Linked DNA regions of Macaca fascicularis. The protein of the gene in region 1 interacts with the protein of each later gene in a biochemical or structural test. Links are inferred from orthologs where the notes say so. Each region holds a gene or a part of one and is shown in the gene's direction. Other genes may lie near its edges. The genes, in order: NFE2L2, ENC1 and GSK3B.

The links.
Region 2: the proteins of NFE2L2 (region 1) and ENC1 form a complex in vitro, tested with the Homo sapiens proteins (2 studies listed by BioGRID). The link is inferred for Macaca fascicularis from reciprocal best matches to the Homo sapiens genes NFE2L2 and ENC1.
Region 3: of the proteins of NFE2L2 (region 1) and GSK3B, one has a biochemical effect on the other in vitro, tested with the Homo sapiens proteins (2 studies listed by BioGRID). The link is inferred for Macaca fascicularis from reciprocal best matches to the Homo sapiens genes NFE2L2 and GSK3B.

What each region holds. Positions count from the first base shown.
Region 1 is NC_088386.1:72,766,602-72,769,240, reverse strand, and holds the end of NFE2L2 (nuclear factor erythroid 2-related factor 2), read left to right. Parts: intron 1-306; coding exon 307-1,533; 3' UTR 1,534-2,008; downstream 2,009-2,639.
Region 2 is NC_088380.1:78,628,179-78,632,313, reverse strand, and holds the start of ENC1 (ectoderm-neural cortex protein 1), read left to right. Parts: upstream 1-1,326; 5' UTR 1,327-1,749; intron 1,750-4,135. UniProt on the Homo sapiens protein: Actin-binding protein involved in the regulation of neuronal process formation and in differentiation of neural crest cells.
Region 3 is NC_088376.1:163,313,664-163,317,319, forward strand, and holds part of GSK3B (glycogen synthase kinase-3 beta), read left to right. Parts: intron 1-680; coding exon 681-867; intron 868-3,656. UniProt on the Homo sapiens protein: Constitutively active protein kinase that acts as a negative regulator in the hormonal control of glucose homeostasis, Wnt signaling and regulation of transcription factors and microtubules, by phosphorylating and inactivating glycogen synthase (GYS1 or GYS2), EIF2B, CTNNB1/beta-catenin, APC, AXIN1, DPYSL2/CRMP2, JUN, NFATC1/NFATC, MAPT/TAU and MACF1.

The sequences.
Region 1 (2,639 bases):
CTATTTATAGGAAGGATTGGAGGGTGCTATTAAATTAGTCATGAGTACTGCCCATGCTAGTTAAATGGGTTGGATATCTTGAGGATAGAATGTTATAAACCTGATGTCTGATCCGGGAACTCTGAAAATAATACATATGCTTAGGCATAAATACGTATTGGAAGTGAGAATTATCTCTAAATTATAGAGAGAATAAATTATAGAGATAAGCCTGAAGATAATGTGGGTAGGGAGTTTATCTAAATTTATCACATATTATCATGGATTAACTTTGATTTATATAGTATAAACTTCTTTCCCATGCAGTGTCTTAATATTGAAAATGACAAGCTGGTTGAGACTACCATGGTTCCAAGTCCAGAAGCCAAACTGACAGAAGTTGACAATTATCATTTTTACTCATCTGTATCCTCAATGGAAAAAGAAGTAGGTAACTGTAGTCCACATTTTCTTAATGCTTTTGAGGATTCCTTCAGCAGCATCCTCTCCACAGAAGACCCCAACCAGTTGACAGTGAACTCATTAAATTCAGATGCCACAGTCAACACAGATTTTGGTGATGAATTTTATTCTGCTTTCATAGCTGAGCCCAGTATCAGCAACAGCATGCCCTCACCTGCTACTTTAAGCCATTCACTCTCTGAACTTCTAAATGGGCCCATTGATGTTTCTGATCTATCACTTTGCAAAGCTTTTAACCAAAACCACCCTGAAAGCACAACAGAATTCAATGATTCTGACTCTGGCATTTCACTGAACACAAGTCCCAGTGTGGCATCACCAGAACACTCAGTGGAATCTTCCAGCTATGGAGACACACTACTTGGCCTCAGTGATTCTGAAGTGGAAGAGCTAGATAGTGCCCCTGGAAGTGTCAAACAGAATGGTCCTAAAACACAACCAGTACATTCTTCTGGGGATACGGTACAACCCTTGTCACCATCTCAGGGGCAGAGCACTCCCGTGCATGATGCCCAATGTGAGAACACACCAGAGAAAGAATTGCCTGTAAGTCCTGGTCATGGAAAAACCCCATTCACAAAAGACAAACATTCAAGCCGCTTGGAGGCTCATCTCACAAGAGATGAACTTAGGGCAAAAGCTCTCCATATCCCATTCCCCGTAGAAAAAATCATTAACCTCCCTGTTGTTGACTTCAACGAAATGATGTCCAAAGAGCAGTTCAATGAAGCTCAACTTGCATTAATTCGAGATATACGTAGGAGGGGTAAGAATAAAGTGGCTGCTCAGAATTGTAGAAAAAGAAAACTGGAAAATATAGTAGAACTAGAGCAAGATTTAGATCATTTGAAAGATGAAAAAGAAAAATTGCTCAAAGAAAAAGGAGAAAATGACAAAAGCCTTCACCTACTGAAAAAACAACTCAGCACCTTATATCTGGAAGTTTTCAGCATGCTACGTGATGAAGATGGAAAACCTTATTCTCCTAGTGAATACTCCCTGCAGCAAACAAGAGATGGCAACGTTTTCCTTGTTCCCAAAAGTAAGAAGCCAGATGTTAAGAAAAACTAGATTTAGGAGGATTTGACCTTTTCTGAGCTAGTTTTTTTGTACTATTATACTAAAAGCTCCTACTGTGATGTGAAATGCTCATACTTTATAAGTAATTCTATGCAAAATTATAGCCAAAACTAGTATAGAAAATAATATGAAACTTTAAAAAGCATTGGAGTGTCAGTACGTTGAATCAGTAGTTTCACTTTAACTATAAACAATTTCATAGGACACCATTTGGGCTAGTTTCTGTGTAAGTGTAAATACTACAAAAACTTATTTATACTGTTCTTATGTCATTTGTTATATTCATAGATTTATATGATGATATGACATCTGGCTAAAAGCAAATTATTGCAAAACTAACCACTATGTACTTTTTTATAAATACTGTATGGACAAAAAAATGGCATTTTTTATATTAAATTGTTTAGCTCTGGCAAAAAACAATTTTAAGAGCTGGTACTAATAAAGGATTATTATGACTGTTAAATTATTTGTTTGGGATTCCTTTGAGTTTATTCACAAGTAGTATTTTCCGTAAGATAATCATCCTTTTAATTTAGATGTTTTGCATTTTCACAATGTTTTATTTGAAAATATAAAAATCATTTTATACTAAATTTCTAGTACCAGGGTTACAGAAAAATAAAGTATATCAAGAGGATACTTTGCCTCTTCAATAGCAAGTACATCTAAACCCAAGAAAATGTTATACACTGACGTGAAAGCATTGATTCATTTATTTCCATCAGTAGATATACGCCCACTATACACTAGGCACAGTTTGAAGTAGAAAGGACAAAACCAATATCCCTGCCCTGGAACTTGCATTCTAGTGAAGGGGAGGTAACAAGCATACTCCACTATGTTAGAAGGAATTGGATGGGGAAAACCAGTAAAAAGCATCACAACTTAAGGCTGTAAATGGGAAGAGCGTTACTGAAGTGGCAACATTTGACGATGGGGGGGAGAAGCCGTTCTCATAGCCAAGAACACTGTAGACAAGACACAGCGGGTCCAAAGGCGGAACCACATTTGAGAAAAAACAAGGACAATGTGGCCGAAGAAAGGGATGGTGGTGGAATATGACAGAGCCTTGTAAGTCTACATAAGTGAGGTGG
Region 2 (4,135 bases), on another chromosome or scaffold:
GTTTAAACCGCTCCTGCACCTAGTGTTTTAAAGCAAGCTGGGAGGCGAAGCGCGGGCGCTCGGGGACGCGCGGACCCGGGGACGGAATTAACTCTGTCGTGGGGCCCTCACTCTCGAGCTGCAGAGCTGGGACACTGTTGCTAAGTGACTACGAGCCAGGCAACTCACATCTCCCTGGGCCTCGGTTTCCCACCTGTAAAACAAGGGAGCTGGACCGGTCATCTATCCCGTTCCTTTATACACTTAATTCCAAACACCGAATAAAAAACAGACATTTTAGCTCCCAGTGGAAAGACAAGTCTCTAGTTGCAAAGATAAATGGGATTCGTAAAAGTGATCACCACGCGAGATTATTTTTCGAATCGCCTTCCTTTCTCCTGGCACGCGGGGCTATTAAACGTGTGTGTGCGCTGAGCCATTTCTTTACTGAACTCCAAACTACCACCACCGAGCGATAAAAAACAGGAGAGGGTGATGGAGGCTTTATCGCTAGGAGAGGAGGTGGCGTGGCTGCTGCTTTGAGGAGTTCACTTTGAATCAAGCGGCCGCGGCGATTGGCTGAAAAGCACGTGGTGCGCGCCCCGCAGAACTGCACCCCGGCTGCCGCTGCAGTCGCCTGGCTTAGGGCAGAGTCCAGCCGTGGGTGCCGCACCCGCTGGGGAATGGGGAGGGAGGACACATGGGAAATGCCTGGGGCTGGAGTCTCTTTGGCTCTCTGCCAGTAAGAAACTTAAAAGTCCTGGCTTGCTCAACCCGAGTGTCCCCAAAGCTTTCAGACTTTTGCCCTTCCATTGCCACTATCTCTCCCCACTCTGGGCGTCCTACCCAAGGAGCTATCTATGCGTGCCCAGGGCTTGTCCTGTGGATATCCAGCTCGCCCCTGGCTGCCCTTTTTAGAGCATCGCGCGGGCTCTGGCATCACCGAGCGTACAACGCCGGGCTGCGCTCCTCTGAGGTGCGTCCCTCAGATCCGGGACTGTCCATTAACCAGGCTGGCTCAGAGAGGCGCAGACACACTCGAACCCGGGAAAACTTATTTTATTCTCGGTTCCCGGGGTTGCAGCTGCCAGCGGCTGAGATAGCGCGTCCGCTTTGTCTCTCTGCAGTCCCCGCAGCCCCCCTCTCCCGCTTCCTCTCCCGATTAACTCCCCCGACACGCTCTTCCCCAGCTCCTCTCCTCCTCCCACTCCTTCTCCTCCTCTTCCTCCTCCTACACCACGGGCCGCGCTAATGCGCTTCCTCCCTCCCCCGGTGTCGGTCTCTTTGCATACGCGCCCCCTCCCCTCCCCGCCGCGCCACTTATAGCGGGGCGCACCGCGGCGGGGCGCAGACTGCTCTGGCAGCCGGAGAGGAGGCGGTGCGGCGGTGGCGCTGCGGAGACCGGGTCCAGACGCCTGGCGGCAGCCGGCGCACAAGGCGCTTTCTAGCTCCCTCCCCCGAGCACACAGCCCGCCTCCTTCCGCGGCGCCTGCAGTGGCAGGCTTGCTCTCCGCTCCGGTGACGCGCTCCGGTAGACGCTCTGCGGGTCCTGGACGCCGGGTGCGCGGCGTGGGGACAAGAGGCAGAGGCGAACGCCAGCGGTAGCCAGTCCGCGAGCCATCGTTCGGGGCGCAGTCCTCTCCCCGGCTGGCGCTCCTTTCTCCGGGGCATTCGCCACCGCTTCCCGGGGCTGAGACGACCGATTCGTCGCCTCCTTGCCCGTGACCGACGCTAGAACTCAGTTGTGCGTTGCGGCCAGTCGCCACTGCTGTAAGTTTCCCCCACTGCCCCGGACCTGTTGCAGGCGCTGCCGGCTTCAGGGGCTGCTTCGGCTGCAGGGGTGTGTTCGCGAGGGGTGAGCGTGCTCCGGGCAGCCGGCAGCTTCCACTTGAGGCCAGGGGGAACTCTTCTAGGTGCGGAGACCATGGTGCCCGCCGCTGCCCTTCCACAGCAGGCAGGAGCCGGGCATCGCCAGAGAGGTCGACCGGCGGTGCAATGTCCGGGGCGAGCCGCTGGGGAAGCGAGGAGCAGAGCTAAGGATACAGTCAGCCTCTCTCCTCCGCGGAAAGCAGCGCTTTCCTGGGGGTGAATGTCGCGCTGCGTCGCTCCCCGCAGCCTCCAGGGCGGAGCGCGCGGAATCGTTGGCCCACGTTGCATCCTTCCCGGCTCAGAGGAAAGTTGGGGCCACGCACAGACACCCTGAGAGCGGGCATGTTCACTGCGGCGGAAATGTCTTATAGAGAATGAATGAAAACTGTTTTCTGAAAAACTAGTTTCTTGATCTGTCGTGTTAACATTATTAGTTACAAAGGACAGGAATTGGTGGGCGGGGAGATGAAACATTGAATTTATCCACATGCAGTTTGGTGTCACACAGGCATGGCCAGCTTGTTAAATAGCTTTGCAAGTGTTAATAAAAAGACTCTGGCAAGAAGCTACTTTTGTTAACAAGATCTTTATAATGTTCTGTTGTTACCGGTAATATAAATGCCCAGAAAAAAATCTGCCTAGTTTCTCTTTTGATTGGATTGAGATCAGGTTCAAAACCTGGAGAAGCGTGCGGGACGCTAAGCATTGGAGGCAGAGAGCCTGAATTAGGAGCATGAAGTGAACTGAAGTTACTGTAACTGAAGCCCTTTTGATGTTCACAGTAATAGCCCTTTTCTCTGTCTTCTTTGTAGACGCAGATTAAGTATAAGTGTGCATTTTCTTGGCCACTTACTTGATATGCAAATGTGATTTCTCTGGGGGCTTAAAAATGCTGGAAAGATGATTCATTTTATGTTGAAGGTGTGTTCAGTGACTTGTATACGTGGTTTCTGCTGATATTTTGAAGTTTGCACACTTTTAAACCAGAAAGCAAGTATTTCCCCTTGGGTTTCCAAGTTTACTTTTTATTTTAATCAAACATTTTTGCAAGAATGTTGATTGTGATTTTGGCTGTGACGTGCTTTTCCATCTGGATGGTATCCAAGATGACAGGCTAGGCTCTTCCTTCTGGCTTGTTGGGCCAGCCTGGAACATACAGGAGCATAAACACAGGATGCGGAGAGATGTAGATCCTATATCCTAAGGTCTTCTAAACAAATTGTTTTCTTAGCTGTAGGTCTGGTTGTGAATGTTGTTTTGCACCATCCTGAATCTAATGTTCAGGGAAATGTGTTCTGGGCCCAGCATGATTCCAGCTCAACGTGTAAGCATTTTGGTGTCTGTGCACCTAGTTTCAGGGAACCTCATTATTCCTTCAGTCAGGGCAGCATTTGCTCTTCGCCTGAGAGGCAGTAGCTTCATAGGAGGATGTAGACAGTCTATCCAGGTTTAGACTTAAAGTCTTCCTCCAAATACTTCAGACTGAATGTACTAATTAAAATAACAACTACAGTGGTGGAGCATTGAGAATGCTAATGGATGTTTTAACCCTTTGGAAACCTGATGCATTCCCCTAGGTTCACATGGTCATTTTCCAGAACACTGGGCATTGGTTAGAATGGAGTAGACAGTAGACACTTAGCCTGAGGTGGGAGTGAGGCTGGCTCCTCACCATTTTTTATATCCCAAGTCACTGTGGAGATTACTGGGTGCTTTGTAAAGTCTTCCTAACACTGTAGCTCTAGGACTTTGTTGCTTCCTTTCTTCCACTAAGCCATGTTTACTCATCATAAAAAATTACATTCCAAAAAGGAAAGAAAACTAGTTGCATCACCTAATGGCGTGAGGTATATGTGTCCTGCCCCTGCCTTTGTGGTTTTCTGTGCAGTCTCACAGCGGGGCTCACATCTGGTTGGGGAGGTGCAAGTTAGTATTTTAGCCCATGAATCTGTGGCAAATCATTCATTTGCATTTATTAATAATTCTTAGAATGTAAATTTAAAAATATCTGAATGGTTAAAGGAAACAGAGTTTCAGCTGCGCTTTCAGGACTGGCTGTTCTGTGTCTGGAACAGATACTGTAACCAGCCACACAGTTTACCCTCTGGGGATAAACAACGGGATAAACAGCTTCCTTAGGAATCCTTGGACAGGCAGCTTCTTGAGGACTTCATTCCTTTGAAGTAACAGAGGGGTGGTATGAAAGAAAAGGATGAAGGCATGTGATTCAGTTTTTGAAGATGGATGACAAGCATTTCCTATGTCTCTAGCCTACTGTTTTCTTACT
Region 3 (3,656 bases), on another chromosome or scaffold:
TGTCTTAATCATTCTTAATGGTTAATACATTTTTTTTCTCCTTGATTAAAACCCTGGAATATTCATTCAAGTGGGGGAAATCTGGCCATATTCATGGTAACACCTACTTGAGAAAAAAAAAATAGGACATTTAATCAAATTCAAGGTATTCAAGAATTTCTTCAAATAATGGTAGGTTCTGTTTATTGGAAATAATACCAAATCAGTAGCATTTATAGACCTAGAGTAAATAGCTCTTCTTTCTTTTCTTTTTGATTGCCAAATTTTTGAACAGTACTGCCCATCATTAACAATTGTTCTGCTAAAAAACAATGCAAAAGAGGCAATCTTTTATTTACTGCCATAGCAGTGAAAACTTTAAAATTTAAGAAATAATTTTCTAGTTGTACTTGCCTCCAGAACTCAGCCTTTCCCGTGTGCCTATCATATTTTGTATGCATGTCTGATTGTTGTTACTTTATGATTAGCATATATAGATTTTTCTCCGAGCATTTCTCATATAATCTTTAATTAGCAATTCACCCCTGTGAATCATATGCATTTAACTTTTTCCATTCTAGAAGGTCCTTTCCCAAATGCAACCATGTTTCTGTGCATGGTGGTAATTAAGTCATTGCTCACAGGGTATTTACTTAGTTTCTTAAAACATTAATTATTCTTTCCCTTTTTTTGTACTGCAGGTCTTCCGACCCCGAACTCCACCAGAGGCAATTGCACTGTGTAGCCGTCTGCTGGAGTATACGCCAACTGCCCGACTAACACCACTGGAAGCTTGTGCACATTCATTTTTTGATGAATTACGGGACCCAAATGTCAAACTACCAAATGGGCGAGACACACCTGCACTCTTCAACTTCACCACTCAAGGTAAATCCAAACACTTTGCTCTTCACCAGTTCTAGGAAAGCTACACACTGGGTGTGAAATGACATTCTATTAATTAAAATCTGTGGGAGACAAAAATGGACATATTAAGTACTTAGGTAGGCGAAAAGAGCATCCTTTCTAACTTAATGGTCACTACTTATATGATTTTGAAGAAAAGAGTAGCACATAAAAGTTTTCCAATAGGCATAGCTTCTTTAATTTTTAGCAGAATATAATGTTGGCACAGGAGAAGTTACAGAGAGTTCAGTGAGTGAAGTTTATCACTAATTGGACTAATGTACAATTTAACCTTTAGGTTTGGATCTGAAACTTAAAATAGTAGCATTTCTTGCTTCCCTAGAGTTTGTATCAAGTTTTTTTAAACCTGGAATGAATTGGCTATATTTGTATAAATTCAGTTGTCTTCCAAACAGGAGGAAAACTGGAGCCCTATAAACCCTTTCTAAGAACTTAAACAAACAATAGAGACAAGGAAATTTCCATCCCCTCTGAGATTTGGCACCATCGCTGCTGCAGAGAAAATACTGAAAGGAAAACTAACTTTGTGCATTGTGGTTTCTGGAAGACCTTGGGATAGTCACTATTTCTTCACTATTTCTGTGTTCAGTTTTCTTTTCTCCTTGATTAAGACCTAAGTGATTCATTCATTCAGTCACACTACCTCTGATGATGTGACTTTCTTCTTACACTGAGCATAAAAAATGTACAATTCATTACCAAAAAAAACACAGTTGATGTATTGATTAGTAAGCATACTCAGGCTAGAAAACAGAAAAGGGAGATGTTGAGCTTTCTGTGAAAGAAAGAAATCTATTTCCTTTATTCATATATATCATATCTTTCTTTTTAAAAAAAAAAAAGAAGACTCTTTTATTTTGGTATTTTAAAATATGTTTGCCCAGCACATTAGATATAAATATGATGTGGGTCTTGAACATTTATGTTTTTGAGGGTTTGGAGAATGCATTTATATTTGGATGTAATGTGTATAGATAGAGTGTGTGGTCTCTGTGGTTATCAGAGTGTTTATGTGATTCTGAGTATCAGTGAAAAACTGGACCCTGTAAACACAGTCATGTATTCCTTAGTGATGCAGATATGTTCTGAGAAATGTGTCATTCAGCAATTTTCGTCCTTGGGCAGACGTCACAGAGTGTGCTTATGCCTACTTATTATTGAAAGTGCTGTCATTTTGAGATATGGCCCCTTTTTAAAAAGTGTTAAAATGCTCTGTCTTAGCACCCATTCTGAAACTGAGCTGTAATCACAAAGTAGTACTTTCTCACGGTCTTTGTAAATCACTATTGTTACTGTTTTTGAACAGTGTTTCTATGTAAGATGTCCAGGGAAGAGAGGTTTTTTTTGTTGTTGTTGTTGTTATTGTTTTTGTTTTTTGGTTTTTTTTGTTTGTTTTGTTTTGAGACGGAGTCTCACTCTGTCACTCAGGCTGGAGTGCAGTGGCATGATCTTGCCTCACTGCAACCTCCACCTCCCAGATTCAAACAATTCTTGTGCCTCAGCCTCCTTAGTAGCTGGGATTACAGGCACCTGCCACCATGCCTGGCTAATTTTTGTATTTTCAGTAGAGACGGGGTTTCACCATGTTGGCCAGACTGGTTTTAAACTCCTGACCTCAGGTGATCTGCCTGCCTTGGCCTCCCAGAGTGCTAGGATTACAGGTGTGAGCCACCATGCCTAGCCTTGATGCCATTGTATTTGATATGATACTCTGTATTCTAATTTTGGAGCAGTGTTTCCAAATGGTGATCTTGTTTTCTGAGGCAGCTGTAACTGTGTACAGATGCAACTTTAAAGCACATGCTAGTTAGTAGTAATTAATGGATGACCAGAATAAAACTGGGTAATCCAAGGGGTTGAAGAAGGAGAATCAATCTTCCAGTTGGTTGTATAGCTAAAGGAAATCTAGAGATAGAAACATTGTGGGGGGTCTGGTTGAAGGGTGAGGGATATTAGTGAGGTTCTTCTAAAGGCAGCATAAAGCCCTCCTCCATCCTCATAACAAATTGTCAGTGACATCTGCAGCACTGCTTCCCCCAAATAAAATAAAGATCTACATATAGTAGGTGCTCAATGAATGTATGAGTGCCATGTACCACTTTAAATAAACATAATATTCATTAATTCATACAACCAGTATTTTTGGGGCATTTCTAATGTTCCCTCTGGTTGTCATTACTATTGTTTTAATTTCTAAAGTAAACCTGCTATATATACGGAACTATAAAGATTAAACACTTGAGTAAAATATAGTGTTTTATTAAGGTAAAGCTTACAATAAAGCTAACTGCAATTTGATGTTTGTTACTGTACCATGGAGTAATTAGCCATAAACAGTAATTAGCATTACTTTCATATAATCACAATATTTCCATATTCAGATAGACGAAGGAGAGAGATGAACAGATATGAGATGGACAACTTTGAGATCTTTCTGATTGCCTAAATCCATAACTCAGGAGAACATCAGACCTCTCTCATTTTTCCAGCACTGAAGCTTCAGTGTTCCAGGACCCCATGACTGACAATATTATCTGCTCTCAGATGTTGGAAATTGGAATAAACCTTTGGCACACCCCCTTCTTTCCATTTCTTCCTGTCATTAGAATTTCAAATTCAGCCATAGCTGAATCAGACCTTAGGAAGCAGATAGAATCAGGAAAGCCCAGTAAGGATCAGTATTTTCTTATTAACTAATTTGTTGCCTATTCCAAGGCTGGAATATATTAGGAAATCAATTGTTTTGTATG